7 linked regions of the Xenopus tropicalis genome follow. The protein of the gene in region 4 binds, or shares a complex with, the protein of the main gene of each other region. Links are inferred from orthologs where the notes say so. Each region holds a gene or a part of one and is shown on either strand. Other genes may lie near its edges. The genes, in order: uxt, taf1c, pfdn2, polr2e, ercc3, rrn3 and taf1b.

Region 1 (4,484 bases), on a different chromosome or scaffold from region 4:
ACAAAGAAGTTACAGCCCAGGTCCACCTGTGTCTGCAGCGTCTCGGGGGGCAGCTCCTGGGGGAACAGCAGAGATCATTGGCACCACAAATGCCCCTATTCCCACCCAATAAGAATTTCCTGGGCAACAGACTGGCACACTAAGGGCAATAAGGTATCACTGGAGCAGAACATGGGGTCAAACACATTATTGGCCCTCTGGAACAATATCACTTCACTGTTGCAGTACCCCTTATCCTCCACTAGGCATTATCCTTCCTCTTCACCATCACTGAAATGGGGCAGGGCTCAGCCCACAAGCAGGGACACGCCTCTAATGGTAGATCCATGTGGTGCAGCATATACAGCAGCCTGTGTGTGTATTTATACTCATTAGTGTCACACACTGGGGCGGCAGGGCCACTACTTACCCTATGGGGGGGGGGGGGGGGCAGGGCCAGCACATACCCCTATGGGGGGGCAGGGCAAGTACTTACCCTATGGGGGGGGGGGGGGCAGGGCCAGCACATACCCCTATGGGGGGGCAGGGCAAGTACTTACCCTATGGGGCGGCAGGGCAAGTACTTACCCTATGGGGGGGGCAGGGCCAGTACTTACCTTATGGGGGGCAGGGCCAGTACTTACCCTATGGGGGGGGCAGGGCCAGCACATACCCTATGGGGGGTCAGGGCCAGCACATACCCCTATGGGGGGGCAGGGCCAGTACATACCCCTATGGGGGGGCAGGGCCAGTACATACCCCTATGGGGGGGCAGGGCCAGTACATACCCCTATGGGGGGGCAGGGCCAGTACTTACCCTATGGGGGGCAGGGCCAGTACTTACCTGTAACCTCTCGATCACGTTTTTGAGCTGCAGGTATTGGCTGATCTTCTCATACACGGCATCGCGGCTCTCTAGCACCTTCCTGCAGCGAGACGGGGGCAATTACTGTGAGGGTATCACACATGCTGGGTACAATCACCCTAAGATGCCCCCCACTGGTTCCCTTAATGCCCTGTGCATAACACAGTCGGCTCAGGGGCATTTATTCTTTTCTATTTAAGTTTCTCTTGGAATTGTCACTGCTATTTGGTTACTAAGGTTTAGTTACCCTAGCAACCAGGCAGCAGTTTGGATGTGTGGATGGAAGTTGAGGCTACAGGTTATTAAATACCATAGACTAGGGGTTAGGGGTATGAGGGGATATAAGAGGGGTATGAGGAGGGTATAAGGGGGAGAATGAGGGGAGTTAGGGGTATGAGGGGGAGTATGAGGGGGAGTATGAGGGGGGGGTTAGGTATGAGGGGATATAAGAGGGGTATGAGGAGGGTATAAGGGGGAGAATGAGGGGAGTTAGGGGTATGAGGGGGAGTATGAGGGGGGGTTAGGTATGAGGGGATATAAGAGGGGTATAAGGAGGAGTATGAGGGGGGTTAGGAATATGAGGGGGTATAAGAGGGATATGAGGGGGGTATAAGGGTATGGGGGGGAGTTAGGGGTATAAGAGGGGTATGAGGGGGAATTAGCAGTATGAGGGGGGTATAAGAGGGGTATGAGGGGGTATATGAGGGGAGGGGGTATAAGGGGGTTATATGAGGGGTATGAGGGGGGTATATAAGGGGGGGGTATATGAGGGGGTATATAAGGGGGGTATATGAGGGGGGTTAGGGGTATAAAGAGGGGGTATAAGAGGGGTATGGGGGGGGTATAAGAGAGGTATGGGGGGGAGTTAGGGGTATATAAGAGGGGGGGTATATGAGGGAGGGGTATATAAGGGGGGGTATATGAGGGGGGTTAGGGGTATAAGAGGGGGGGTATTGAGGGGGTAATATAAGGGGGGTATATGAGAGGGGTTTAGGGGTATAAGAGGGGGGGTATATGAGGGGGGTATAAGAGGGGGGGTAATAGAGGGGTTATGATATGAGGGGGGGTATAAGAGGGGGGGTAATAAGAGGGGGGGTTGTATATGAGGAGGGGTATAAGGGGGGTATATGAGGAGGGGTATATAAGGAGGGGTAATATGATAGTGAGGGGGGGTATAAGAGGGGGGGTATATGAAGAGGGGTTATAAGGGGGTATATAAGAAGGGGTATATGAGGAGGGGGTATAATAAGAGGGGAGGGGGTATATAAGGGGGTATAATGCGGAGGGGTATAAGAGGGGGGGGTATATGAGGAGGGTATAAGAGGGGGGTATATAAGAGGGGTATATGAGGGGTTTAGGGGGTATATAAGAAAGGGGTAATATGAGGGGGGGTTAGGGGTAATATAAGAAGGGGTATTGAGGGGGGTTAGGGGTATAATAGAGGGGGTATATAGAGGAGGAGGTAATAAGAGGGGGGTATATAAGAGGGGTATATGAGGGGGGTATATAAGAGGGGTAATAGGGGGTTAGGGGTATATAAGAGGGGTATATGAGGGGGGTTAGGGGTATATAGAGGGGTATATGAGGGGGGTTAGGGGTATATAAGAGGGGGGTATATAAGAGGGGAGGGGGTATAAGAGGGGGGGGGTATATGAGGAGGGGTATAAGAGGGGGGTATATAAGAGGGGTATATGAGGGGGGTATATAAGAGGGGTATATGAGGGGGTTAGGGGTATATAAGAGGGGAGGGGGGGTATATAGAGGGGGGGGTATATAAGAGGGAGGGGGGGTAATATAAGAGGGGGGGTATATAAGGGTGGGGAGGGGTAAGTGCCACGGACAGGCCACAGGACTTACCGCAGATCCCCACGGAGAGTTTCCCACACAAACGCCTCGTATCGCTGCACCTTGTGCCCCAGCCCCGCCATCCCTTCCCGGCACCCCCCGCGGCTCCTGCGTCACAGCCCCGCACTTCCGCTTCCACCATTTTTGTTTTGGGCGGAAACTCCTTCCTAACCCTGGGGATTTCCGTTTCCGCTGGCTGACTGGCTGAGGAACATGGGGAGCCCCGAGTTGCTGTTGGACTCCAGTATCCGCCTGTGGGTCGTCTTACCCATCGTCTGTATCACCTTCCTCAACCGCCTCTCTTCCGCCCGATTTACCCCGCCTGCTGCAGGGGGAGAGCGCCCCGAACTGGAGCCCCTCAGCGATAGGTCTGTACTGGACATCCCCATATAACTGACCCCCCCATATACTGACCCCCATATACTGACCCACCCCATATACTGACCCCCCCATATACTGACCGCTCCCCCCATATACTGACCCCCCATATACTGACCGCCCAGTATAACTGACCCCCCGGATCTGACCCCCCATATACTGACCCCCCATATACTGACCCCCCCCCATAATACTGACCCGCCCCCATAATACTGACCCCCCCCATATAACTGGACCCCCCCCCCCATATACTGCCCCCCCCATATACTGACCCCCCCATAATACGACCCCCCATATCGACCCCCCATATACTGACCCCCCCATATACTGACCCCCATATAACTGCCCCCCCCATATACTGACCCCCCATAAATACTAGCCACCCCCCCATATACTGACTCCCCGGATACTGAGGACCCCCCCCATATACTGACCCCTCTCCGCCAGGATAGCCCGCCCGGATACTGACCACCCCATATACTGGAGACCGGACGTCGACCCCCATATACTGACCCCCACCCATGATATGAACTCCCCCCCATATACTAGGACCCCCCTCAGTTGCTCCGGCCCGCCTGAGCCCTTTCGGATCCCGTTGTAAGACGGACCGAGAGAATGGTAGCAGTTGTGGGGCTCCGGTCCTTCATGATACAGTCCTGTGTCATCTCCCCACTCACACGACTATCGCCCTCCTGCCCGTCTAACATGCCCCCCCCCATATACTGACCCCTCCTCCCCCATATACTGGCCCACCAGCCCCGGATTACTGACCCCCCCCCCATATACTGACCGCCCCCCATAATACTGACCCCCCCATATACTGACCCCCCCCCATGATACTGACCCCCCCATTATACTGACCCCCCCCCCCATATACTGAACCCCCCCATATACTGAACCCCCCCATATACTGACCCCCCCATAAAATTACTGACCCCCCATTATACTGACCCCCCCCCTGACCCCCCCCCATATACTGACCCCGCCCCCATATACTGACCCCCCCATATACTGAACCCCCCCCCATATACTGACCCCCCCGGATACTGACCCCCCACCCCCCCGGATACTGGACCCCCCCATATACTGACCCTCCCCCCATATATTGACCCCCCCCCCCGGATACTGACCCCCCCCCATATACTGACCGCCCCCCCCATATACTGCCTCAGCGATAGGCTCCCTGTACTGACCCCCCCCCCCTGGATACTGACCCCCCCCCCGGATACTGACCCCCCCCCCCCGGATACTTGACCCCCCCCCCCATATACTGACCCCCCCCATATACTGACCCCCCCCATATACTGACCCCCCCCGGATACTGACCCCCCCCCCCCCCCATATACTGACCCCCCCCCCCCCCATATACTGACCCCCCCCAATATACTGCCCCTCAGCGATAGGTCTGTGCCCCCCC
Region 2 (4,515 bases), about 120 Mb from region 4:
CTGTACTAATGGCACCGACGTGTTTATGGGTCAGTCCCCCCTAGGCCCAAACTGTACTAATGGCAGTGACGTGTTTATGGGTCAGTCCCCCCTAGGCCCAAACTGTACTAATGGCACCGACGTGTTTATGGGTCGGCCCCCCCTAGGCCCAAACTGTACTAATGGCACCGACGTGTTTATGGGTCAGTCCCCCCTAGGCCCAAACTGTACTAATGGCAGTGACGTGTTTATGGGTCAGTCCCCCCTAGGCCCAAACTGTACTAATGGCACCGACGTGTTTATGGGTCAGTCCCCCCTAGGCCCAAACTGTACTAATGGCAGTGACGTGTTTATGGGTCAGTCCCCCCTAGGCCCAAACTGTACTAATGGCACCGACGTGTTTATGGGTCGGTCCCCCCTAGGCCCAAACTGTACTAATGGCAGTGACGTGTTTATGGGTCGGTCCCCCCTAGGCCCAAACTGTACTAATGGCAGTGACGTGTTTATGGGTCAGTCCCCCCTTGGCCCAAACTGTACTAATGGCACCGACGTGTTTATGGGTCAGTCCCCCCTAGGCCCAAACTGTACTAATGGCAGTGACGTGTTTATGGGTCGGTCCCCCCTAGGCCCAAACTGTACTAATGGCAGTGACGTGTTTATGGGTCAGTCCCCCCTAGGCCCAAACTGTACTAATGGCACCGACGTGTTTATGGGTCAGTCCCCCCAGGCCCAAAGCGGAGGAGGTGGCTGAGAGACTTCCCATATGAGTTACCAGGGTTAGGAGGCAGCAGTGGGATGGGTGCCGGGCTGGTTGGGCTCCAACGTTCTGCAGATCTGCTGTACAAGGGAATGAACTTGTAACCATCCTGTGAAAACAATGACAAGGTGTCTGTGGGTGCAACCACTATAACCACCCCCTTCCCCAGCACTGCCCCCCCCCCCCCCACTAAAGCATCCCCATGTGATCCCCTTTCTTATTTTCCTTTGTAACATTTCTGACACTTATCCCCAGAGCTGCCATCTAAACCCCAATAAACTAATGTCTCTACTGAACCTTACCTGCGCGCTGTTACTGTGCTGGACTTTGCTGTGTTCCCCCAGGCCAAACACAGAGTGGGAAGTGGGGGCCTCCCTGGCACAGGGCCCCTCGCTGTAAAATGAGGGGAACAAAGAGCCTGGAAACTCCATCTAAGAAGTCATCTACAAGGCAAGAACAAGAAAGATTATAAGGCAGTTACATAAGCTAAATGTACTCACTATAATTGGCCTTCAGGCTGGATCCCCTCGGCTCATAACAAATGATTTCTAATATCCTTATCATTTACAGTAGGGGGTACAGTATCCCTTATAATACATGAGTGATACTCAGAGTTCCCTGTATAACTCAGCCTGCAGCCTTGTGCCTTTATATGGGGGGCACAGAACCCCTCAGTGACTGCTAATATCCTTATCATTTACAGTAGGGGGTACATTATCCCTTATAATACATGAGTGATACTCAGAGTTCCCTGTATAACTCAGCCTGCAGCCTTGTGCCTTTATATGGGGGGCACAGAACCCCTCAGTGACTGCTAATATCCTTATCATTTACAGTAGGGGGTACATTATCCCTTATAATACATGAGTGATACTCAGAGTTCCCTGTATAACTCAGCCTGCAGCCTTGTGCCTTTATATGGGGGGCACAGAACCCCTCAGTGACTGCTAATATCCTTATCATTTACAGTAGGGGGTACATTATCCCTTATAATACATGAGTGATACTCAGAGTTCCCTGTATAACTCAGCCTGCAGCCTTGTGCCTTTATATGGGGGGCACAGAACCCCTCAGTGACTGCTAATATCCTTATCATTTACAGTAGGGGGTACATTATCCCTTATAATACATGAGTGATACTCAGAGTTCCCTGTATAACTCAGCCTGCAGCCTTGTGCCTTTATATGGGGGGCACAGAACCCCTCAGTGACTGCTAATATCCTTATCATTTACAGTAGGGGGTACATTATCCCTTATAATACATGAGTGATACTCAGAGTTCCCTGTATAACTCAGCCTGCAGCCTTGTGCCTTTATATGGGGGGGCACAGAACCCCTCAGTGACTGCTAATATCCTTATCATTTACAGTAGGGGGTACATTATCCCTTATAATACATGAGTGATACTCAGAGTTCCCTGTATAACTCAGCCTGCAGCCTTGTGCCTTTATATGGGGGGCACAGAACCCCTCAGTGACTGCTAATATCCTTATCATTTACAGTAGGGGGTACATTATCCCTTATAATACATGAGTGATACTCAGAGTTCCCTGTATAACTCAGCCTGCAGCCTTGTGCCTTTATATGGGGGGCACAGAACCCCTCAGTGACTGCTAATATCCTTATCATTTACAGTAGGGGGTACATTATCCCTTATAATACATGAGTGATACTCAGAGTTCCCTGTATAACTCAGCCTGCAGCCTTGTGCCTTTATATGGGGGGCACAGAACCCCTCAGTGACTGCTAATATCCTTATCATTTACAGTAGGGGGTACAAACACACTAGATCACACAGCTGCACACACAGGAGGCCCAGAGCCAAATGTAACCCCCGGCGGTATGAGTACAGGAGCGAGTAATACATACACTCAGGGACACCCCCGGGAATCACGGTGAGACCGCCCCACATTACTCACTGTATCTCCCACAAACACGTGTAGTTGCACCCTCAGAGCTCACACTCGCCTCCCACAGCGCTACAGTCTCCCACAGCGCTACAGTCTCCCACAGACAAACACCCATTACCGAGCGGACACTCACACTCACACTCACACTCACACTTCCCTTCTCCTCACACCCCACACAATCCGAACCTGAAGTTTTTGCTTGTACCTCTCTCCCGGCCCGTCATAAAGTGTTATTTCAGGTTACGCACCAATGAAGAGTAAGAACGCTCAGTCACATGACCATGTAGCCAATCACAGAACAATGGGCGTGTCTCAGCGCATAGCGGCCATATTGCTACTCGCTGGGTGCAGTTCTGAGTTCCAAGGTGGCGGCTCGGAAGTTTCCTTCAGTTCCCTCCCAAGAGACGCCTTCAAGGTGTGATTTGGGCGTAGAGCTGGGCTTTTGGCTCCTGTCTGTTGTGTCGGAATTTTACACCAGATAAAAATCAACTATTCCCCTCCTGCCATTCCCTAACTATCCCCCCATTCCCTAACTATCCCCCCCTATCCCCCCATTCCCTGACTATCCCCCTCCTATCCCCCCATTCCCTAACTATCCCCCCCCTACCCCCCAATTCCCTAACTATCCCCCCCCATCCCCCATTCCCTAACTATCCCCCCCTATCCCCCCCATCCCCTAACTATCCCCCCCTATCCCCCCATTCCCTAACTATCCCCCCATCCCCCCATTCCCTAACTATCCCCCCTATCCCGCCATTCCCTAACTACCCCCCCATTCCCTAACTATCCCCCCATTCCCTAACTATCCCCCTCCTATCCCCCCATTCCCTAACTATCCCCCCCTATCCCGCCATTCCCTAACTACCCCCCCATCCCCCCATTCCCTAACTATCCCCCCTATCCCCCCATTCCCTAACTATCCCCCTCCTATCCCCCCATTCCCTAACTATCCCCCCCATCCCCCCATTCCCTAACTATCCCCCCTATCCCGCCATTCCCTAACTACCCCCCCCATCCCCCCATTCCCTAACTATCCCCCCCTATCCCCCCATTCCCTAACTATCCCCCTCCTATCCCCCCATTCCCTAACTATCCCCCCCTATCCCGCCATTCCCTAACTACCCCCCCCATCCCCCATTCCCTAACTATCCCCCCCTATCCCCCCATTCCCTAACTATCCCCCTCCTATCCCCCATTCCCTAACTATCCCCCCTATCCCCCCATTCCCTAACTATCCCCCCTATCCCCCCATTCCCTAACTATCCCCCCTATCCCCCATTCCCTAACTATCCCCCATTCCCTCACTATCCCCCCATTCCCTCACTATCCCCCCATTCCCTAACTATCCCCCCATTCCCTAACTATCCCCCCATTCCCTAACTATCCCCTCCTATCCCCCCATTCCCTAACTATCCCCCCCATCCCCCATTCCCTAACTATCCCCCCCTATCCCCCCATTCCCTAACTATCCCCTCCTATCCCCCCATTCCCTAACTATCCCCCCTATCCCGCCATTCCCTAACTACCCCCCCCATTCCCTAACTATCCCCCCCTATCCCCCCATTCCCTAACTATCCCCCTCCTATCCCCCCATTCCCTAACTATCCCCCCCTATCCCCCCATTCCCTAACTATCCCCCCCTATCCCCCCATTCCCTAACTATCCCCCCATTCCCTCACTATCCCCCCCATTCCCTCACTATCCCCCCATTCCCTAACTATCCCCCCATTCCCTAACTATCCCCTCCTATCCCCGCATTCCCTAACTATCCCCCCCTATCCCCCCATTCCCTAACTATCCCCTCCTATCCCCCATTCCCTAACTATTCCCCCATTCCCTAACTATCCCCTCCTATCCCCCCATTCCCTA
Region 3 (4,491 bases), on a different chromosome or scaffold from region 4:
ATGCTTTGATAAGGGGTAATTATATCTTAGGGCTGTTCTGCCCCAATAAGGGGTAATTATATCTTAGTTGGGATCAAGTACAGGTACTGTTTTATTATTACAGAGAAAAGGGAATCATTTAACCATTAAATAAACCCAATAGGGCTGTTCTGCCCCCAATAAGGGGTAATTATATCTTAGTTGGGATCAAGTACAGGTACTGTTTTATTATTACAGAGAAAAGGGAATCATTTAACCATGAAATAAACCCAATAGGGCTGTTCTGCCCCAATAAGGGGTAATTATATCTTAGTTGGGATCAAGTACAGGTACTGTTTTATTATTACAGAGAAAAGGGAATCATTTAACCATGAAATAAACCCAATAGGGCTGTTCTGCCCCAATAAGGGGTAATTATATCTTAGTTGGGATCAAGTACAGGTACTGTTTTATTATTACAGAGAAAAGGGAATCATTTAACCATTAAACCCAATAGGGCTGTTCTGCCCCAATAAGGGGTAATTATATCTTAGTTGGGATCAAGTACAGGTACTGTTTTATTATTACAGAGAAAAGGGAATCATTTAACCATGAAATAAACCCAATAGGGCTGTTCTGCCCCCAATAAGGGGTAATTATATCTTAGTTGGGATCAAGTACAGGTACTGTTTTATTATTACAGAGAAAAGGGAATCATTTAACCATTAAATAAACCCAATAGGACTGTTCTGCCCCAATAAGGGGTAATTATATCTTAGTTGGGATCAAGTACAGGTACTGTTTTATTATTACAGAGAAAAGGGAATCATTTAACCATTAAATAAACCCAATAGGGCTGTTCTGCCCCCAATAAAGGTTAATATGCCCTTTAATTAGGTGCCCACAAGGCAGAGCCTTACCTGCTCTTTATTATTCTCCAAAGCCGGAAGCACTTCCTTCACGGTGCGTTCCACCAGTACCCCCCCGACCATCCGGAAACACTTCCTGCCCTGCTCCACTTCCTTCAGGGTGTCGATAACCAACCTGCGGAGCGAGGGAGACGACTGTCAGTTAGTTAGGGAGATCTGCACTGGTTCCGACTACAGAACAAATGTAGCGTGCAACAGAGAGGAATAACGACCCTCGGGGAGAATCACATTGAAGGATTCTTCATTGCTGAACGACCTGTTTGCTAATGAGACTCACGTGTGTTCGTTAAGCTCCATCTCCAGTTCCGCTGCCTTGGACGCGAGACCTCGCTGCTCCTGGCGCAGGCGATTAAATCCAGCCACCACCTGTAGCAACAAACACAGAACGTACATATTAAACAAGGGTATTTGGCTTAACTTTCCCTTTAATGGCAACTCTTAAACAATGTGGGCAAACAGATCAGCCCAGCATTGGCTCATCTTCTTACAGGGGCCTATGGGGTCCAATATCCAGAAACCCTTTATCCATAATGTTCCATAGACTTCTTTTTTAATCACGTTAAAAAGTTATTTCCCTTTTCTCTGTAATAATAAAACAGTACCTGTACTTGATCCCAACTAAGATATAATTACCCCTTATTGGGGGCAGAACAGCCCTATTGGGTTTATTTCATGGTTAAATGATTCCCTTTTCTCTGTAATAATAAAACAGTACCTGTACTTGATCCCAACTAAGATATAATTACCCCTTATTGGGGCAGAACAGCCCTATTGGGTTTATTTAATGGTTAAACAATTCCCTTTTCTCTGTAATAATAAAACAGTACCTGTACTTGATCCCAACTTAGATATAATTACCCCTTATTGGGGGCAGAACAGCCCTATTGGGTTTATTTAATGGTTAAATGATTCCCTTTTCTCTGTAATAATAAAACAGTACCTGTACTTGATCCCAACTAAGATATAATTACCCCTTATTGGGGGCAGAACAGCCCTATTGGGTTTATTTAATGGTTAAATGATTCCCTTTTCTCTGTAATAATAAAACAGTACCTGTACTTGATCCCAACTAAGATATAATTACCCCTTATTGGGGCAGAACAGCCCTATTGGGTTTATTTCATGGTTAAATGATTCCCTTTTCTCTGTAATAATAAAACAGTACCTGTACTTGATCCCAACTAAGATATAATTACCCCTTATTGGGGCAGAACAGCCCTATTGGGTTTATTTAATGGTTAAATGATTCCCTTTTCTCTGTAATAATAAAACAGTACCTGTACTTGATCCCAACTAAGATATAATTACCCCTTATTGGGGGCAGAACAGCCCTATTGGGTTTATTTCATGGTTAAATGATTCCCTTTTCTCTGTAATAATAAAACAGTACCTGTACTTGATCCCAACTAAGATATAATTACCCCTTATTGGGGCAGAACAGCCCTATTGGGTTTATTTAATGGTTAAATGATTCCCTTTTCTCTGTAATAATAAAACAGTACCTGTACTTGATCCCAACTAAGATATAATTACCCCTTATTGGGGCAGAACAGCCCTATTGGGTTTATTTAATGGTTAAATGATTCCCTTTTCTCTGTAATAATAAAACACTAAGGTGCCCCAGTCCCATTGTTGAACCCCCTTCCAACTGAGGGATTATGGGATATCACTAACAGCTCAGTACCATAGCAACACTGCTACCAAGCTGGCTAGCAACAGTTTCTAGGAAGCAGAAGAGCCGGCTGCTCCTGGGCTGCTGTGGGAAGGCTATCAGGGATCCCAATAGGGAATGAATCTGAGTAAATGCCCAAGGAAGCCTGTTCCCACTGAGCTTATAATAGCACATGTGTCTATATAAGGGAATGAATGGCCATAATGAAAAAAGGGCTTTGGGCTTAGTTGCCCTTTAAACGGCCGGTTGGGGGGGGGGGGTACCGGCCGGGCAGACCCCCCAGCAGCCATTATGCCCACCATGCCCAGTACCTGCTCGGCCGCCACCTGCTTCGCTGCATTAGACGCCATCACGCTTCTCTCTCGCACTGCGCACCTTCTCCGCGCAGCGGAAGTCTATGCGTTCCGACGCCACTTCCGCCCGGGAAGTCCTGGCGGCGCCATGTTGAGAGAGGGAAAAGCATGACTGGAAGCGCCTGGTTGGTGGGGCGCATAAGCCGCGTCATAGTCGGGCCGTAGTAAGTGACGTCAACACATTGTGACAGCTGAGGCCTCCTGGGAAAGTGTGTGTGTCAGATATATCGCCGCTTCTTTATAGCCCGTGCGGGGGGGCTGCGTAATGCGATTGGCTAATGGGGTGTCCGGAAGTCTCTAAACTACAGATCCCAGAATGCTCAGCCAAAGCCCGGGGAGCTGACGTTAGCCTCCTGTTGTCATGTGACTACTCCCTAGTGCGCCTGTTATTGGTCAGCCACCATTTCTGGGGTTTCTCTGCCCAGATGCAGGTTAAATAAACATATATAACTACACTAGAGAATAACAAGTCAAATGGGGTTCATCTTGGGGTTCCCAGCTCATTCCCTATCTTGGTAAAGAGATTAAAGGGAAAGTAAAGTCTTAGCACTTAGTGTCTTGGACTAAATCTCCCAATCCTGTTTCCCATTTATTTCTTTATAGTTTTTAAATAAATTCTTCTTCTGCCTCTTTGCAGCTTTCAAATGGGGGTCACTGACCCCGGCAGCCAAACCCTATTGCTCTGTGAGGCTCCAGTTTTATTGTTATTGTTACTTTTTATTCCTTATCTTTCTATTCAGCCCCTCCCCTATTTATATACCCGCCTCTCATTCAAATCACTCCCTGGTTGCTAAGGTAATTTGAGCCCTAGCAACAGTATAACTGACCCCGGCAGCCAAACCCTATTGCTCTTTGAGGCTCCAGTTTTATTGTTACTTTTTATTCCTTATCTTTCTATTCAGCCCCTCCCCTATTTATATACCCGCCTCTCATTCAAATCACTCCCTGGTTGCTAAGGTAATTTGAGCCCTAGCAACAGTATAACTGACCCCGGCAGCCAAACCCTATTGCTCTGTGAGGCTCCAGTTTTATTGTTATTGTTACTTTTTATTCCTTATCTCTCTATTCAGCCCCTCCCCTATTCATATACCCGCCTCTCATTCAAATCACTCCCTGGTTGCTAAGGTAATTTGAGCCCTAGCAACAGTATAACTGACCCTGGCAGCCAAACCCTATTGCTCTGTGAGGCTCCAGTTTATTGTTATTGTTACTTTTTATTCCTTATCTTTCTATTCAGCCCCTCCCCTATTCATATGCCAGCCTCTCATTCAAATCACTCCCTGGTTGCTAAGGTAATTTGAGCCCTAGCAACAGTATAACTGACCCCGGCAGCCAAACCCTATTGCTCTGTGAGGCTCCAGTTTTATTGTTACTTTTTATTCCTTATCTTTCTATTCAGCCCCTCCCCTATTCATATACCAGTCTCTCATTCAATCCACTCCCTGGTTGCTAAGGTAATTTGAGCCCTAGCAACAGGAGAACTGACCCGTTTTATTGTTACTGTTACTTTATATCAATTACCTATCTATTCAGCCCCTCTCCTATTCATATTCCCTTCTCTCGTTCGAATCAAAGCCTG
Region 4 (4,212 bases):
AAAAAAAAATTAAAATGTAGTGGGCTTTTATTATATTCTGAATTACACATCCTGCCTATCATTTGCTATTAGAGGTACCGAACTACAAATTCATCCAGCAATCGAGCTACAAATGCAACATATTGGGAGTTTTAGTTTACAAAGTTATGGTCAAATGTAAAATCCCTGAGCTATCAGAAATAAACAGTACAGAACTTAATAAAGATGAACTTCTAAACTATATGGACTCACAAAAAAAAAAAAAAAAAGATTTTTGTGGGAAGGTGATACTGTTTATTGGTTAATTAATTTTAAACGGTATCATGTTACCACCTAAAATCTTTTTTCTGAAACTATGGCTAACACATTACAATACTCTGCTGCTACTCATCAAGAAGGCACCTAACGTTCCCATGTGCACCCACCTATTACATGTCAGTGTGTATGGATAACAGAAACGTTTCAGTATGAGTGAAAGTGTTTCTTCCCCTTCTGTATTAAAACTCACCTCATGCTCTGTGATATTAATCAGAAGCTCCTGTTGTAGAAACTGCTCCAGAATGTATTTGGGTGCCATATCCACCAGGGACTGCAAAATAAAGAGATTGCTATAAAGATAGGAAAGCTGGCAGAAGCTTTGGATAGTATTTATTATGGACTAACACCATGTAAACATTTTACTACATTAACTGATAATTTAATAATTAAAATATTTTTTCAGATTTTGGCAGTATTTATCCTATGCATAGGAAACAAGGTTTCAACTGGATTGAAGTCAAAAGGGCTCACTTACAAGAAGTAGGTGCAGAATTGCCAATTTTTTTTTTTAACGTCTTTATTATGATTTAGCATGAAAAGGTTACATTCATATTTATATGCAATGACCGGTCCATCCTCTTTCCTATATCATAGGAGAGAAGGTTTATAGTTGTCCTTTACCTTTCCATCAGGCAAATAAAGTGATTCGATCCTGTTTTTAGAAAACGTGGTAGTAGTATTAAGTAATAATCATACAATATTAACTAGTAACTAATTAACTAGTAAACGTCTGCCTTTATCTTACTTGCCAGAGAACATAAAACGGTAACCTGCTTATACTTGGATAATATGACTATGTTAGTTCATCAGCCAGAATTGCAAATTTTAAACAGCATACGCATATGACCTGCACCTACTTGCACCCAAGCCCTGTGCTTAACATCTGGTTTGACCTGGTGTTATGCAGACCCAGGCTGAGATTCAAAATAGGCCCTAATATTTCAAATACACAAAGGCCCAAACAGCAACTGTCTGTGGGATCTTACAGCAGTTCCTCTGGCATTTGCCAGAATCCACAGACTGGCAGTCTGGGCCTGGTGTTAAAGGAACAGTAACACTAAAAAATAAAAATGTTTTAAAATAATTAAAATATAATTTACTGTTGCCCTGCACTAGTAAAAGTTGCGTGTTTGCTTCAGAAAGACTACTATAGTTAATAGAAATAGCTGCTGTGTAGCCATGGGGGCAGCCATTTAAATTGAAAAAAGGAGAAAAGGCACAGGTTACATAAGAAGATACCAGATAAACTGTGTAGAATACAATGGGAATCTGCTACTTAATTGTTATCTGCTTAGCAACCTGTGCCTTTTCTCTTTTTTTCAATTTAAATGGCTGCCCCCGTGGCTACACAGTAGGGTATTTATATAAACTGCAGTAGTGTTTATGAAGAAAACACACAACTTTTACCAGTGCAAAACAATAGTATATAATATATTAATTATTTTTATACACTTTCATTTTTTGGTGTTACTGTTCCTTTAAGCACTGGGCCTCCTTATGCACTCATAGCCAATCAAGGTTGTGGAAGCTGAACTGCACATGACTGACAACCATGTAAGTGTATGCCTATGCTGCAGGAAGGATGCTGCACTGAGGGGTAATATGGCAAATTGCACTTTTTTGCATTTAGCAGATGAGATCTATAGTTTTAATAATAGGTGTATTCCTTTTTAAAGAAGGGTCTTTCAAACTTATCCCATTTTTAAGATAAAAAATAAAGCTTAGGTGTCTTTTGCCAGCAAAACATACAAATCACATAGAAAATTAATTCATCGGAGTAGTATATATTTTATCTGTACATTTTCATTTATAAAAGCTTTGGATCAGAACTGCAGTTCACCCAGTAAGTATGCTTAGGTAAGGTGCACGTTAGCTGGCAGAATTACCTGTTTGGCAGATGGGGTCATTCCCTGCTGCACCACGATTAAAGCCCTCGTAATGTTCTCCTCCTGCATTCTCTGGCAATACATCTTAATTGTCTTAATGCCAACTTTGGGTTCCTCTACAAATAAGACAGGCAAACATGTAATAATCCTTTGTCTGCATGTATAGACCCTTCAGCCAGTCACTGTTTTTTTTTTTTTTTTTGCACCTACTCACCTGGGAAGAAAACAAACATTTGGTCTGTGGGATCATCATTATGAGCTACTAATACAGTCAGGTCAGTTCGGCGAGGGCGCCCTTCGCTAGGTTTGTCCCCAAACTGGGCTTTAAACTCATCCAGTGTCTGATCCAATTCATCCTGCGTTACTAAGTAACCACGGTCATGGCACAGCTGGCGAAGGAAAGAAGGATGCGAGTGAAACAGGTAATATGGAGACAGATGAGGTAAAGCACAAAAGTAAAAGTGACAGGGACGAAGAGTACAGTAGAAGTATATGCTGGAAGCAGAAATGAATGGTACCCAACACAACGTAGCTGAGTTCGAATTACTGAAAAAGGCGAAGATTATAACACAAAAAGATTTAAAACTCAATTTTCTCACCTGCATAATAGTTTTGCGGATCTTCCACAACCGGTAAGTTTCCTCCTCATCGTCCATGTTGTCTCCACGAGACCAAACAGGAAGAAGAGCGCGATTTCCGGAGCTCGGCTCCCTGGGCTGCAGGAGGACCCTACATGGGCTGCCCTCACTCTGCCTGATGGCTACAAGCGAATACTGCTGTGGGGTATCTCTGAGGACGTGTTATTAGCTTAAAACTGCACTGTGGAAAAGGAATAAAGTTGCGCATAATATCGTTTCCCTTTTTTGCTGAAGGTGGCTATTCGGGTTGTAGAATTTGTTCAAGTTTCGGTATCACGCTAAGGAAGACCAAAGAAATTGCATCGTCGCAGTTGAAGGGCTCGGCCATGTTTGTGGTAGGCAAGAAGCCGGCGTACATGTTCTTGTAAAGATCACCATTTTGTTGGTGGGTATTACTACCGTTCCTATATTCATCGTCTTCGTGTATTTATATTGCGTCACATAGTTACATGGCGCTCTGCATTAATATTATAAGTGGCTAAGTTTAAGAGTTAACCCTCTAAAGGTATAGGGATTAGTTATTGGCAAAAGAGGGTGTGGTAATGTGCCAATGATAGGCTAACTACAAGAATTACGTAAACTAAATATTCTTTAGAAATACTTGTTAAACTGTTTTAAGGCGAGCAGTGTTTTATTAAGATTTTTTTTTATTTTTGCCCCAAGCCCCATTTTGATATATAATATTATCTTTATGTATGTATATATATTTTTATTTATATAGCACTACTTATGTACCCAGCGCTGTACAGTAGGACAATAAATGAATAGAATAAACGGGACTATTACAATAAAATAAATACAAAGTATGATAGTAAATACAAGGTAAGGATACAATACGTTAAATTAATACTGTCACGGGAAAAACGTATTTTTTAAAAACATATCTGTTAATAGAGCGTCTCCAGCAGAATCCTGCATTGAAATCCATTTTTCAAAAACACAAACTGATTTTTTTTATATTTAATTTTGAAATTTCACGTTGGGCTAGCCATATTCTTCATTTCCCAGGGTGCCACAGTCATGTGACCTGTGCTCTGAACTCACACTTTACTGCTGAGCTGCAAGTTGGAGTGATATGAACCCCCTCCCAGCAGCCAATCGGCAGAATAATGGGAAGGTAGCAAGATAGCAGCTCCCAGTAGATCTCAGAATTGCACTCAATAGTAAGAAATCCAATTCCAGCTTGTGACTCCTTCAGTTATATGGAAGTAGGAGAAACAATAGGTTATCTGAAAGCAGTTCCAATGTGTAGCGCTGGCTCCTTCTGAAAGCTCAGACTTGCACAATGCTGCTTATAGACCAATATTACAGCTAAAAAAATACATTTGTTGGTTCAAGAATAAAATGTTAAATGGTAGACTGAATTATTTGCTATGTAAATAGTGTAATTC
Region 5 (4,333 bases), on a different chromosome or scaffold from region 4:
GGAGAACTAAAGCCCAAAATGAAATGGCTAGAAATGCTGTATTTTATATACTGTATAGAGCAGTGATCCCCAACTAGTGACTCGGGGGGAACATGTTGCTCCCCAACCCCTTGGATGTTGCTCTCAGTGCCCCCAAACCAGGGAGTTATTTTTGAATTCCTGACTTGGGGGCAAGTTTTGGTTGAATAAAAACAAGATTCCCCTGTAAGCTGATAGGGTGCATAGAGGCCCCTAATAGCCAATCACAGCCCTTATTTGGCTCCTCCATGAACATTTATGGTGCTTGTGTTGCTCTCCAAGTCTTTTTACTTTGACTGTGGTTCCCGAGTAAGAAAGGTTGGGGATCCCTGGTATAGAGGTAGGTTCATGAGTCCTAGAACTGTGATGACCCAGCAGCGAGCCAGTTTCTGATTTTGTTAGTCCATTCGCTGCAGTGTGTTCTGGGCTCTTCCGTAGCCTCTGTCCCCCATGTATTTGTAATTAGGGGACATACATTATAGTCATAGTAGTAGTAGCAGGAGCCAGGGTTGGACTGGGGGGTGCAGGGCCCACCGAGGCTACCCCCCGGGGGGCCCGCACCCCACAAGGGGCCTCTTCTGGCTGCGTCCCCTGCTGGGGCCCCCACCGCACACCCCTATCCCCTCACAGGGCCCCCCGCCCGACGTCCTCCCCCGAGCTTGCGTATGTGAAACCCATCAGGGGGGGACACCAACGGCCAGGGGAAGCTGCAACAGGGTCGGGTCTGGGCCGATGGGGCCCACCATGTCCGGGGGCCCACCATGTCCAGGGGCCCACAGGGTATTTTCCCGGTGTCCCAGCAGCCCCTGTCCGGCCCTGGCAGGAGCTATTTCCATGTCTATTATTCCCACACCTTTCAGTGAACCTTTAGTATGTTATAGAATGGCCTATTCTAAGAAACTTTTCAATTGGTCTTCATTATTTATTTGTTATAGTTTTTAATATCTGCCGCTTTCTTCTGACTCTTTTCCCCTTTAATTGTCAAATGGGGGTCACTGACCCCGGCAGCCAAACCCTATTGCTCTGTGAGGCTCCAGTTTTATTGTTATTGTTATTGTTATTACTTTTCTTTCTGTTTAGGTCCCTCTCCTACAAACATATCAGTCTCTCATTCGAACCAATTCCTGGTCGCTCGGGTAATTTAGACCCTAGCAACCAGATAACTGCTGAAACTGGAGAGCTGCTGCACAAAAAGGGAAATATTTACAAAACCAGGAATAATACAAAAAAATGAAGACCAATTGCAAATTGTCTCAGGATATTACTCTCTATGTTATACTAAACGTTAACTCAAAGGTGAACAATCCCTCCAATTGAGATTCTGTCATGACTCCCCCGCCCTTTTCTCCCCCCTGCCCATCATCTCTGTGGGTTTTTTCCCCAGCGAGAACGATCCTAGCGATTTCTATAGTGGGTGCTTTACACAAAGGGGCCGCCAGGTGGCAGCATTGAGATTTTCCAGAGCAACAAGTAGCAAATGTCTCTTGCCGGTTTCCGTAGTGCGCACCGGAAGTGGGGAAGAAGCAGCAGAAGAAGCAGCCGGAAGGTGTTGCTGCCAGGGAACCTGCGATGGGCAAGAGGGATAAGGCGGACAGAGGTAGGGACAGTGTCCCATAGTCTGTGGGGCTTTGTGCCGTGTGGTAGCGCTAAACTCAGGGGAGGGAGGGGGTTAATAACGCAGGGGCCTTCTGGGAGTTTCACGTAATTCCGTGCATTTGCCTTGGGTTATACCCCCAATAGGTGCCTCAGGGTTATACCCCCAATAGGTACCTCAGGGTTATACCCCCAATAGGTGCCTCAGGGTTATACCCCCAATAGGTGCCTCAGGGTTATACCCCCAATAGGTGCCTCAGGGTTATACCCCCCAATAGGTGCCTCAGGGTTATACCCCCCAATAGGTGCCTCAGGGTTATACCCCCCAATAGGTGCCTCAGGGTTATACCCCCAATAGGTACCTCAGGGTTATTACCCCCCAATAGGTGCCTCAGGGTTATACCCCAATAGGTGCCTCAGGGTTATACCCCCAATAGGTGCCTCAGGGTTATACCCCCAATAGGTACCTCAGGGTTATACCCCCAATAGGTGCCTCAGGGTTATACCCCCAATAGGTACCTCAGGGTTATACCCCCAATAGGTGCCTCAGGGTTATACCCCCAATAGTACCTCAGGGTTATACCCCAATAGGCCTCAGGGTTATACCCCAATAGGTGCCTCAGGGTTATACCCCCAATAGGTGCCTCAGGGTTATACCCCCAATAGGTACCTCAGGGTTATACCCCCCAATAGGCTGCCTCAGGGTTATACCCCCAATAGGCGCCTCAGGGGTTATACCCCCAATAGGTGCCTCAGGGTTATACCCCCAATAGGTGCCTCAGGGTTATACCCCCAATTGGCCTCAGGGTTATACCCCCAATAGGTGCCTCAGGGTTATACCCCCCAATAGGTGCCTCAGGGTTATACCCCCAATAGGTGCCTCAGGGTTATACCCCCCAATAGGTGCCTCAGGGTTATACCCCCAATAGGTGCCTCAGGGTTATACCCCCAATAGGTGCCTCAGGGTTATACCCCCAATAGGTGCCTCAGGGTTATACCCCCAATAGGTGCCTCAGGGTTATACCCCCAATAGGTGCCTCAGGGTTATACCCCCAATAGGTGCCTCAGGGTTATACCCCCAATAGGTGACCTCAGGGTTATACCCCCCAATAGGGCCCCTCAGGGTTATACCCCCAATAGGTGCCTCAGGGTTATACCCCCAATAGGTGCCTCAGGGTTATACCCCCAATAGGTGCCTCAGGGTTATACCCCCAATAGGCGCCTCAGGGTTATACCCCCCAATAGGTACCTCAGGGTTATACCCCCAATAGGTACCTCAGGGTTATACCCCCAATAGGCGCCTCAGGGTTATACCCCCCAATAGGTACCTCAGGGTTATACCCCCAATAGGTGCCTCAGGGTTATACCCCCAATAGGTGCCTCAGGGTTATACCCCCCAATAGGTGCCTCAGGGTTATACCCCCAATAGGTACCTCAGGGTTATACCCCCAATAGGCGCCTCAGGGTTATACCCCCCAATAGGTACCTCAGGGTTATACCCCCAATAGGTGCCTCAGGGTTATACCCCCAATAGGTACCTCAGGGTTATACCCCCAATAGGCGCCTCAGGGTTATACCCCCAATAGGTACCTCAGGGTTATACCCCCAATAGGTGCCTCAGGGTTATACCCCCAATAGGTACCTCAGGGTTATACCCCCAATAGGCGCCTCAGGGTTATACCCCCCAATAGGTACCTCAGGGTTATACCCCCCAATAGGTACCTCAGGGTTATACCCCCAATAGGTACCTCAGGGTTATACCCCCAATAGGCGCCTCAGGGTTATACCCCCCAATAGGTACCTCAGGGTTATACCCCCAATAGGTGCCTCAGGGTTATACCCCCAATAGGTGCCTCAGGGTTATACCCCCCAATAGGTGCCTCAGGGTTATACCCCCCAATAGGTACCTCAGGGTTATACCCCCAATAGGCGCCTCAGGGTTATACCCCCAATAGGCGCAGCAGGATAATACCCCCAATAGGCGCCACTGACCTACTCTGATTTCCCTCCCAGGAGACAAAAAGAAGTTCAAGCGGCGTCACTATGAGGAAGAGGATGAAGAGGAAGAGGAGGTGCCCGGGGGCGAATACCAGGAAGCCGTTCCTTCTGCCGCGGGAAAGCAAGTGGACGAAGCCGGCACAAAGCAGGATGAGTACGGAGCCAAAGACTATCGCCTGCAGATGCCTCTGAAAATGGATCATTCCTCTCGCCCCCTGTGGGTGGTACGTTCCATATGTTACTCTGAGGCGGCTAGCGGATTCCATTAAAGGGCTTGTTTACCTTTGAATTAACTGAGTTAATATGACGTAGACATTAATCTGAGCCAATTTTTTATTGGTTTTTATTTTTTGTCGTTAAGTAGCTCTCCAGTTTGGCATTTCAGCTGCTACCTTGTTGCTAGGGTCTTGTTTACCCTAGCAACCAGGCGGTGGTTTAAATGAAAGACTGGAATATGAAGAGGAGAGGGCCCGGATTAAAGAAAAAAGTATAAAGTTACAATATTAATACAATTGTAAACTTCAGGGCAATAGTTTTCGGCTGTCGGGTCACTTGAAAGCCGGAAAAATGTAGAAGTAAATCAGTCGCTGATGGAAAAACATTGGATTTAATTTAATCTAAAATATCTGTGAACTCTCCTGACTCGGGGGTGGTTGGGCTAAAGGGAAAGCTGTACCATTAGTTGGCGCGGGGTTCAGCCCAAATTACCCCTTGGATTTACCTC
Region 6 (4,541 bases), on a different chromosome or scaffold from region 4:
AGCGGATGGAAGTGCAGTGTCTGTGATTTGTGGGAGAATCTGGGGCTCAATATGACAGGTGGCGGCGCCATCCTCTATGGAACACGTTACTGTGACGGCAGCGGAGGGAATAACCACGAGTTACAGCATTGCCAAGAAACAGGCTTCTCCTTAGCAGTGAAACTGGGCACCATCATGCCCAATGAAGCCGGTCAGTTCTGCACCAAAGAAATGCTGTCCTTACTCTTACTCTGTCCTGTTTGTAGCATTCTGTTAGTGGGCATGTATGGGTGGAAATGTTGCACAGCTACACATCACAGGCTGCAGAGAGTTGTATTTTATCAGTGAATTCTGGGTGATTGAGGGAGTGTATATATGCCTGTTCCCAGTAATACAGTAACACAGGATTTGTCTGTTTAAATAGGAAAGTGATTGTTTTGGGCACAGTGCAAGGCGAGTACAATTAGGCATCAGGATGTAGGTACAGTGTGATAAGCAATACTTAATAAGGTCCCTAATGGGCATTGTACAAGATCTGTGCCATACATTTTATTTGGGCGCTGTGTTAAATGGTACTTATTTTCTGTCTCATCAGAGCCATGCTTGGACATGGCCTGTTATCTGGGAATACTCAAAGAGAGCTTTACAGAAAGATAGTGACACATCTCCAGAACATGAGGTAACATTTATTTCCTCATGTGCTAAATATGGGAATTTATAAGCAAAATAACTGCCTTTCCACTTTGCCACACCTTTGTATATATCAGTGAGCTGTAGATCAGGTGGCTTGTCATACATTACATTAACATTTATTTATAAAGTGCCAACATATTCCGCAGCGCTGTACAATAAGTGGGTTACATACATTGGACATACAGAGTAACATATAAAGCAATCAATAACCGATACAAGAGGTGAAGAGGGCCCTGCCCAAAAGAGCTTACAATCATACAGCAGATAGGTTTCGGCAGAACCCAAAATCACAATGTATTGGGTGCAATATGGTTACAAGGCTCTCCATTGGATATTAAGCATTGTGTTATGTACCCTGATGTGTCTGTGCATTGTTTCCCAACCTACATATCTTGAAGTTTCAGAATTTTGGATAACTGTACTCTTTCCTTGCTGTATACATTATATCATTGAGTACAGGGCATGTCACCTGGGGCTCTCCATATGCCCTGTCCCATTTACTCTCTCTTCTGTATAGGAAGTGCTTGCTTTTGTGCAAGGTCTTTAGGATGGGATCGCTCTGAGAATGTTTAAAGGAGACATATCCTATAAAAATTATGAATGTACTAGGGAATTATACTCCTCTAGATATAGAAGGATTGTGCTTAAAAATGTTGTGTTTCTGGCAGGGACCGTTAGGACACGCCCACTCTTCATTTCACATTGGATGGAGAAGTGATAGGATCTATAGGGAGCTCCAATAAAGGGGCCATTGTTACAGATAGGGTTAATGTTTAGCCCAAAGTGAAACCAGCACCGGATATTATTCATAATTGCCTACAAAATTAGGGTTTTTCCCCATTTATCCAATATGTCTCCTTTAAAGAAGATGGAAAGGCTAAAAAGTTGCAATCCAATTTTATCTTCACATTCTCTTTATTGGGCTGCAGCTATTAGGCAACCAGAATAAGTGTTTTTACTTTGTCCCTCCCTTTAGCACGCTGAACCTAATAGAAGCTATGAGTTGTGTCACTACCACAGGTACAGTCCTTCCTCATTCCTACCACCACCCCCACTAGCACTATCATACCGCTGCAGCGCGTCACACTCACTAAGCGTGACTTCCTGTCTCATCTCGCGAGATTGTGACGATCCTCTCGGCGAGCAGGCGTGCAGCAAGCGTGGAGCTGGGCTTATAAACAGCGATCCGGGAGTGCGTTCTGTTCTGTCAAAAGTGGGTCTGTTGGGCGGTATGTTGTGATTTATCAGAAAACATCCATCCGGTACCTCTAATATTTTTGGAAGGGGGTGGCGCTGATTAAAACACGCCAGTTTTAGCTGTAATGCGAGATTTTATTAGTGGGCTCTGTTTAGAAAGTACATCATTTTCTTGATTATCAGTGGTTTGTTGTGTAATGTCACATAACAATAATGTCAGTATCCCACTTCCTCCCTCCCCCGTGTTGTTGCCACTGGATCTACATGCACCGCTGGATTAAGTTCCGCCCCCCCTGCACCTGACTGAACAGCTGTGCCCCTCCCCCCCAATATTCTGCTCAGCCACACCCCCAAAACTTGCTCACAGAAAATTTTACAGAGGTATAAGTAAATTAAAAATAGGCCCTGTCATTTCAAGCACACAGATGCCCAAATCGCCCCCGCACAGGGCCAATAACTAGTGTCTTAGGGCTCTGGCACACAGGGAGATTAGTCGCCCGCGACAAAACTCCCTGTTCGCGGGCGACTAATCTCCCCGAGTTGCAATCACCTGCCATCCCGCCGGCGAACATGTAAGTTGGCGGTAGGATGGCACACGCGGCGGCACGATTTCGGGAAATCGACGAAGTTGCCTCGCAAGGCTTTTTCGGCGATTTCCTGAAATCGCGCCACCGCGTGTGCCATCCCACCGGCGACTTACATTGTCGCCGGTGGGATGGCAACTGGCGGCAACTCGGGGAGATTAGTCGCCCGCGAACAGGGAGTTTTGTCGCGGGCGACTAATCTCCCTGTGTGCCAGAGCCCTTATAGCATTTTACAGCAGCCCCTCAGATTACAAGTCCAGGCCTGGAGAAGTCTCTGTGGCCCTGGAAGAAACACAACGAAGGGAAGGGATATGGGTAGGGAAAGAACTATAAGGAAATAGAGAACATGTGCAGGGGGAAGGAGTGTGAGGGAATAGGGATGTGAGGAAATTTGGGAGAGCAGGCACAGGGTAAGACAGTGGTGGCCAATGTCGATCGTGGTCCACCAGTTGATCCCCCGTGGATTCCTGGTAGACTGCGATCAAGTCTAGGATGCGAAAGTGCTGTGTGAATGCGTACGTACATTCCCTGGTCATCGGTCGATCGCGACTGAAAAAAGTCTGGCCACCCCTGGGGTAAGGGAATAAGGGGAAAAAAGGGGAATGGTGATAGGAATATAACTTCTATAACTATAGACTTCCCATGCCATCTGCATAGAGAAGAATGATTATGCGCCCCATACCACCCACACAGAAAGTAATAGAATGGAAAAAAAGGCATAACTATAATAACCCCTAACACTCATACCTGTAGGGCCTCCCTTGCCATTGTCACCCACGGGATCTCTCATTCTCTTCAAAACGTGCACATTGTAAATGTGTGAGACTTTAATGGTGGATATACACTGAGTAAGGGTTGGTAGTACAGCATTCCCCCATATGCTTCAGACCTGTAGATTTTGATAAATAATGTACCTTTACCTCCTATAATTTATATAGTGAATAATGTGCCCCCTATTGTAAAATATTAGGCTACAGGTATGGGACCTATTATTCAGAATGCTTGGGACCTAGGCTTTTCCAGATAAGGGGTCTTTTCATAATTTGGATCTCCATACTTTGTCTGCTAAAAAAGTTTTTAAACATTAAATAAACTCAATAGGATTGTGTTGCCTACAGTAAAGGATTATTAATATTGTAGCTGGCATCTAGTACAAGGTACTATCTTATTACAGAAAAAAAGAAAATTGTTTTTAAAAGTTTTAATTATTTGATTAAAATGGAGTTGGAGATGGCCTTCAAATAATTTTATGGGTCTTCTGGAGAACAGATCCCATACCTGTATTGTAAGTCATCAAGGTGTTCTTTGACCATCTGAAACCACAAGGCCAAAGGGTGATTGCTTTTGTACAGGTCATGAAACTCTAAAGTAACTTCTAATATACTCATATTTTATAAGAGGGGGTGCATTATTTAATTTAATAAACAAGTTTCAGCAAGTCATCTGATAGAAATGTAAATTAAGTAATATAAAGTTTAATGTAATGTTTGCTGAAATGTATATTAAGTAATATAAACATATTTGAAAAAGTTGAAAGTTGAAAGTTTAGCCATTTTCCAGAATTTTGTGTAAATGGGTACATAAAATAACATGTTTTGTAAAACAGCATATATTAGTTCAGGTTTTACAATGTAACATATCAGCAAAACAGCAAAACAATATCTGTGCCTACACATAATGTGTATTTTTCATTTTTATTATATGTGCTGTCTGCAGATTAAAGATGTTGACAGAAAGTGATGAATTTCTCAGCTCTCCACCCAAAAAAACTGTCAGATTTGGTGGAAAAGTGACAGAAATCTTGTTCAAGTATTCAAAGGTAATTATCCATCATAGTGTAAAGCTAATGTTATATTAGATACGAAACTTGCATAAATAATAAAACTGATAGCATAGGCCAAAGTACTACTTTACCTAGCTAAAGTAATATAAAATGCAAATTGCCATTTCCTGTATGCTCAACTTGTGTCTCTTCTGCAACATATGGAGGACTAAGTATTTTTCAAAAGCTGTTGGGACCATTTTTCTACAGCTAGGGTTTTATTTAACAGATAAAATTTTGGAAGCTGTAGTTTTATAGAGCCAATG
Region 7 (3,756 bases), on a different chromosome or scaffold from region 4:
TATGGAAATATTTCCCCAAACCCACTATCAGGCCCAGCATGCAGAGAAGAACTGAGCATGCTCAGTAGCCAACAGCCAAACTTAATTCCTAAGGGAGGCAGCTAAGTGGGTTAGAGTAGGAGAAGGAATCCTAAGTGATTGAGGGGACACTAAAGCCTAACTATTAACCTTTAAGCAACCAGAGGGGGTATTTAAGGTTTCAAAGAGGCTATTTACTGATTACATATTTTTGTGGGGCTTTACATGTCCTTTAATAATAAGAAATAATTTGTCTAGTCAATTGCATTGCTGTACTTCAAAGGGATCTTAACCCTCAAAGTAATGTAGAGTTGCTCTTCTGAGTACCTTTGCAATTTTTTTTGTTCTGTTTTTCAAGATATTAGCAGTTTCCACACTTTTACTATAAAGAACCTGAAACAAGGCTACTGCTGTTCAGTTCAGCCAGCAGATGAAAAGACTTCTGGTTTTGCTTTGCTTAGAAAATGAAGTTAGTGTTCAGAGATGAGTATGTAGAAGTATACTGATACTGCTTTGCCTATGGGATAGCATACAGTACAGCATTATGGAACTAAATTAGTGCTGGACTGTACAACCAGGAGATGCGCATCGCTATGTGCAGTGTAGCTCAGCACCTGTAAAAGTAATGCACAAATACACCTACCCATAGATACGTCTAAACGACCAACTGCAACAACACCACTGAGTCCCTACTACTTCTCAACAACCAGAGGGTACAACTGCACAGAGCCCGCTCACTCCTTGCTCCTCAATATTTAGTACATAAAAGGGGACACAAATCAATCTCTTTCATAAATTTAGACCTTGGAATCCATAAAAATGAAATAAAATACGTTAAATATTTGACTGCATTCCCTCACACTTATCAGTGCCTACTCACAGCAGGTTTTAGGAGAAATTTTACAGACGTTTGATGCCCTCTAGTGGTAGCTGAAGAGGATGAACCAGTAAAGTACTTGACATGTACAGACAAATTCCACACTTACACCAGACCCATATGGCTTAACAGAAAGGATCAGCAAAATGCATATAGATAGATAGAAACATTATGTGTCTATCTATAATGTATACATTATATTTATACACCTATTTTAGACATTTCATGCAGTTCTCAATGCAGGCAATAAATGTCATAGGGATTTTCATTCTCGCATGAACTATTCCACTTTTATGAGGCAAAAAAAAATGAACATTGTTGGCCCAAGGGCAGAAGGCCAATAGATCATCTGACTTGTGTTTCTGTCAGCAAAGCTGCCTGAAATAGGGGCCTCTTTATCAATAAGCTTGTTTTTTACCACCATACTGAATGAACATCATTGCATGTAAAGGGGAGAGAATCACTGTTAAAAATGTGGATGTAATTGCTCAGAAACTAGAACATTCAGTTATTCTGAAACCCATTATCCAAAAGAGCTCTGAATTATGGGAAGACTATCTCCAACAAATCAAATAATTAAACTTTTTAAAAATAATTTCTCTTTCCTCTGTAATAATAAAACAGTACTTTGTACTTGAGCCCAACTAAGATATAATTACCCCTTATTGGGGGCAGAACAGTCCTATTGGGTTTATTTAATGGTTAAATGATTCCCTTTTCTCTGTAATAATAAAACAGTACCTGTACTTGATCCCAACTAAGATATAATTACCCCTTATTGGGGGCAGAACAGCCCTATTGGGTTTATTTCATGGTTAAATGATTCCCTTTTCTCTGTAATAATAAAACAGTACCTGTACTAGATCCCAACTAAGATATAATTACCCCTTATTGGGGGCAGAACAGCCCTATTGGGTTTATTTCATGGTTAAATGATTCCCTTTTCTCTGTAATAATAAAACAGTACCTGTACTTGATCCCAACTAAGATATAATTACCCCTTATTGGGGGCAGAACAGTCCTATTGGGTTTATTTAATGTTAAATGATTTTCAGCAGACTCCAAATGCTCATTCAAGAAGGACCCTCAATACCATTCCCCTTGTAGTGTTACAGGCATGGGATCCCTTACCTGGAAATTTATAATACAAAAGCTCCAAATTACAGGAAGGCCATCTCCCATAGGGTCTATTTTAAGGAAATAATCCAATTTTTTTTTTTTTTTTTTAAATCATTTCCTTTTTCTCTGTAATAATAAATCAGTACCTTGTATCTGATGGCACTAAGCTGCATGAATTTATATTGGTGGCACATCAATCCTATTGGCTTTATTTAATGTTAGTTTAATGTTTAAGGTACAGAAATTACAGAAAGATGCTTTATCCAGAAAACCCCAGGTCCCAAGCATTCTGGATAATAGGTCCTATACATGTACTGCAAAACACAGTGGGAACCTTGTATCCTTGTAACCTTGTAAGTGGTAGAAGTTAGAACAGCAGATTGTTACATCAGAACCTACATACATCTAGCATGAAGAAGCTTAAATACATGTGTTTATGAATGCATCCAAACCCTCTTCAACATGTGATTTGCTTTACAGTTTCCTTTTAATAAAACAGCAATGCAAAGATCTTTAAAAAATTGGTTTGAGAAGTTAGATCCAGGTTTTGTAGCAGCATGGAGACCTACCTGCATCCGGAATATTCTGACATCATGTCCGTATACTTTTATTTCTTCCGGCAGATATTGATGTGCATTTATGTACGGAATGTGTTTTTCGAAAACAAATCTACAAAGCATAAAAGAACAATTTATATTTGTGTCCTAAAACGAATAAAACTTGGTAAAGAGGCTGAGGCTTCCGACTGCTGGGCTGTTAGGGGATGATAGCATTTGAGACAGAGATAATGTACCTAAGGGATGTCCAACTGGAAATCCCGAAGGGCCATATGTGGCCCTCCAAGTGATTTTTATGGTCACCTTAATTATGTCAATAGGTCAAATAATCTACATAGAAAATGTTAGTCATAATTAAAGAAGATAAAGTTAAAGTTTAACCTCTACTGGCCCCCACCCCTTTCCCTGACCACAGTTAAAGGGCACCGATCACCTCCTATTGTTTCCCCCACCAGAGGTGCAGGCTAATACAGCCCGCACTCCAAATAGGGGAAACAATAGTTTGTTTGTTTTTTTCAAAAAACTGCCAGCGCTGTGCTACCTGCACCGTGAGGGAGCCCCTGGAGCGGGCAGCCATATTGGGGCACATGCATGTGCATAATGAGCAAGCACTCATGCCTGTGACATAGGAGGGTGATTTACATCCACCGCTCGCATCGGAGGACCTTCGGCACTTAAGCTTTTTATCAGCTCCTGCAATTAAATTTATGATCACAAACATACCACTAAACTGTCCGAAGAAATAGAAACATAAATTTGAACTACAGGTGCTGATAAAAAGCTTACGTGCCGAAGGTCCACCCATGCGAAGACAACTTCTGGGTCAGGAATTCAAGCACCCGTTGCCTTTTCGCCGTGCTGCTATGGAGCAGTTTATAACTAAAATTCTAAATGAAGCATTTTATAAAAGACCAGAGGGAAAGGGTATCCCTATCATTAGAGATGTTTTGTGTATAAGGTAATCAAATATTTATGTGTTACTGTTCCTTTAACTCTAATATTCACTTGCCTCTCAAAAGGGGATGGCTTTTTCTATTAAAACATATGCAAAATATCTTACCGTAATAAATCAGAGAGTGTGATAGAAGCTCTCAGCCACAGCAAAGCAAGGTAACAGAAAGCCAATGTCATAGGCATGGTCATTTTAACATAGTTCCATGGTTTAAAATTTTTTCTCATTTTCAC

Evidence for each region.
Region 1: polr2e (region 4) and uxt share a complex: the UniProt entries of both Homo sapiens proteins name them as parts of the PAQosome complex. The link is inferred for Xenopus tropicalis from reciprocal best matches to the Homo sapiens genes POLR2E and UXT.
Region 2: polr2e (region 4) and taf1c share a complex: the UniProt entries of both Homo sapiens proteins name them as parts of the pol I pre-initiation complex. The link is inferred for Xenopus tropicalis from reciprocal best matches to the Homo sapiens genes POLR2E and TAF1C.
Region 3: polr2e (region 4) and pfdn2 share a complex: the UniProt entries of both Homo sapiens proteins name them as parts of the PAQosome complex. The link is inferred for Xenopus tropicalis from reciprocal best matches to the Homo sapiens genes POLR2E and PFDN2.
Region 5: polr2e (region 4) and ercc3 share a complex: the UniProt entries of both Homo sapiens proteins name them as parts of the TBP-based Pol II pre-initiation complex. The link is inferred for Xenopus tropicalis from reciprocal best matches to the Homo sapiens genes POLR2E and ERCC3.
Region 6: polr2e (region 4) and rrn3 share a complex: the UniProt entries of both Homo sapiens proteins name them as parts of the pol I pre-initiation complex. The link is inferred for Xenopus tropicalis from reciprocal best matches to the Homo sapiens genes POLR2E and RRN3.
Region 7: polr2e (region 4) and taf1b share a complex: the UniProt entries of both Homo sapiens proteins name them as parts of the pol I pre-initiation complex. The link is inferred for Xenopus tropicalis from reciprocal best matches to the Homo sapiens genes POLR2E and TAF1B.

What each region holds. Positions count from the first base shown.
Region 1 is NC_030684.2:1,333,811-1,338,294, reverse strand, and holds the start of uxt (protein UXT), read right to left. Parts: upstream 2,815-4,484; 5' UTR 2,773-2,814; coding exon 2,702-2,772; intron 906-2,701; coding exon 824-905; intron 57-823; coding exon 1-56. Other genes in the region: tmem111 (ER membrane protein complex subunit 3), read left to right, coding at 2,903-3,057. UniProt on the Homo sapiens protein: Involved in gene transcription regulation. Acts in concert with the corepressor URI1 to regulate androgen receptor AR-mediated transcription. Together with URI1, associates with chromatin to the NKX3-1 promoter region.
Region 2 is NC_030677.2:215,209,451-215,213,965, reverse strand, and holds the start of taf1c (TATA box-binding protein-associated factor RNA polymerase I subunit C), read right to left. Parts: upstream 2,940-4,515; 5' UTR 2,833-2,939; exon of another isoform or gene 2,798-2,832; intron 2,751-2,797; exon of another isoform or gene 2,656-2,750; intron 1,180-2,655; 5' UTR 1,168-1,179; coding exon 1,039-1,167; intron 846-1,038; coding exon 752-845; intron 1-751. UniProt on the Homo sapiens protein: Component of the transcription factor SL1/TIF-IB complex, which is involved in the assembly of the PIC (pre-initiation complex) during RNA polymerase I-dependent transcription.
Region 3 is NC_030684.2:143,080,034-143,084,524, forward strand, and holds the start of pfdn2 (prefoldin subunit 2), read right to left. Parts: upstream 2,913-4,491; 5' UTR 2,910-2,912; coding exon 2,871-2,909; intron 1,254-2,870; coding exon 1,165-1,253; intron 1,003-1,164; coding exon 879-1,002; intron 1-878. UniProt on the Homo sapiens protein: Binds specifically to cytosolic chaperonin (c-CPN) and transfers target proteins to it. Binds to nascent polypeptide chain and promotes folding in an environment in which there are many competing pathways for nonnative proteins.
Region 4 is NC_030677.2:100,196,683-100,200,894, forward strand, and holds the start of polr2e (DNA-directed RNA polymerases I, II, and III subunit RPABC1), read right to left. Parts: upstream 2,850-4,212; 5' UTR 2,840-2,849; coding exon 2,783-2,839; intron 2,573-2,782; coding exon 2,398-2,572; intron 2,300-2,397; coding exon 2,184-2,299; intron 569-2,183; coding exon 488-568; intron 1-487. UniProt on the Homo sapiens protein: DNA-dependent RNA polymerase catalyzes the transcription of DNA into RNA using the four ribonucleoside triphosphates as substrates.
Region 5 is NC_030685.2:86,618,822-86,623,154, reverse strand, and holds the start of ercc3 (general transcription and DNA repair factor IIH helicase subunit XPB), read left to right. Parts: upstream 1-1,511; 5' UTR 1,512-1,587; coding exon 1,588-1,615; intron 1,616-3,624; coding exon 3,625-3,833; intron 3,834-4,333. UniProt on the Homo sapiens protein: ATP-dependent 3'-5' DNA helicase/translocase. Binds dsDNA rather than ssDNA, unzipping it in a translocase rather than classical helicase activity. Component of the general transcription and DNA repair factor IIH (TFIIH) core complex.
Region 6 is NC_030685.2:34,347,888-34,352,428, reverse strand, and holds the start of rrn3 (RNA polymerase I-specific transcription initiation factor RRN3), read left to right. Parts: upstream 1-1,525; 5' UTR 1,526-1,885; exon of another isoform or gene 1,886-1,901; intron 1,902-4,169; 5' UTR 4,170-4,176; coding exon 4,177-4,272; intron 4,273-4,541. UniProt on the Homo sapiens protein: Required for efficient transcription initiation by RNA polymerase I (Pol I). Required for the formation of the competent pre-initiation complex (PIC).
Region 7 is NC_030681.2:138,017,114-138,020,869, reverse strand, and holds part of taf1b (TATA box-binding protein-associated factor RNA polymerase I subunit B), read right to left. Parts: coding exon 3,632-3,756; intron 2,684-3,631; coding exon 2,584-2,683; intron 1-2,583. UniProt on the Homo sapiens protein: Component of RNA polymerase I core factor complex that acts as a GTF2B/TFIIB-like factor and plays a key role in multiple steps during transcription initiation such as pre-initiation complex (PIC) assembly and postpolymerase recruitment events in polymerase I (Pol I) transcription.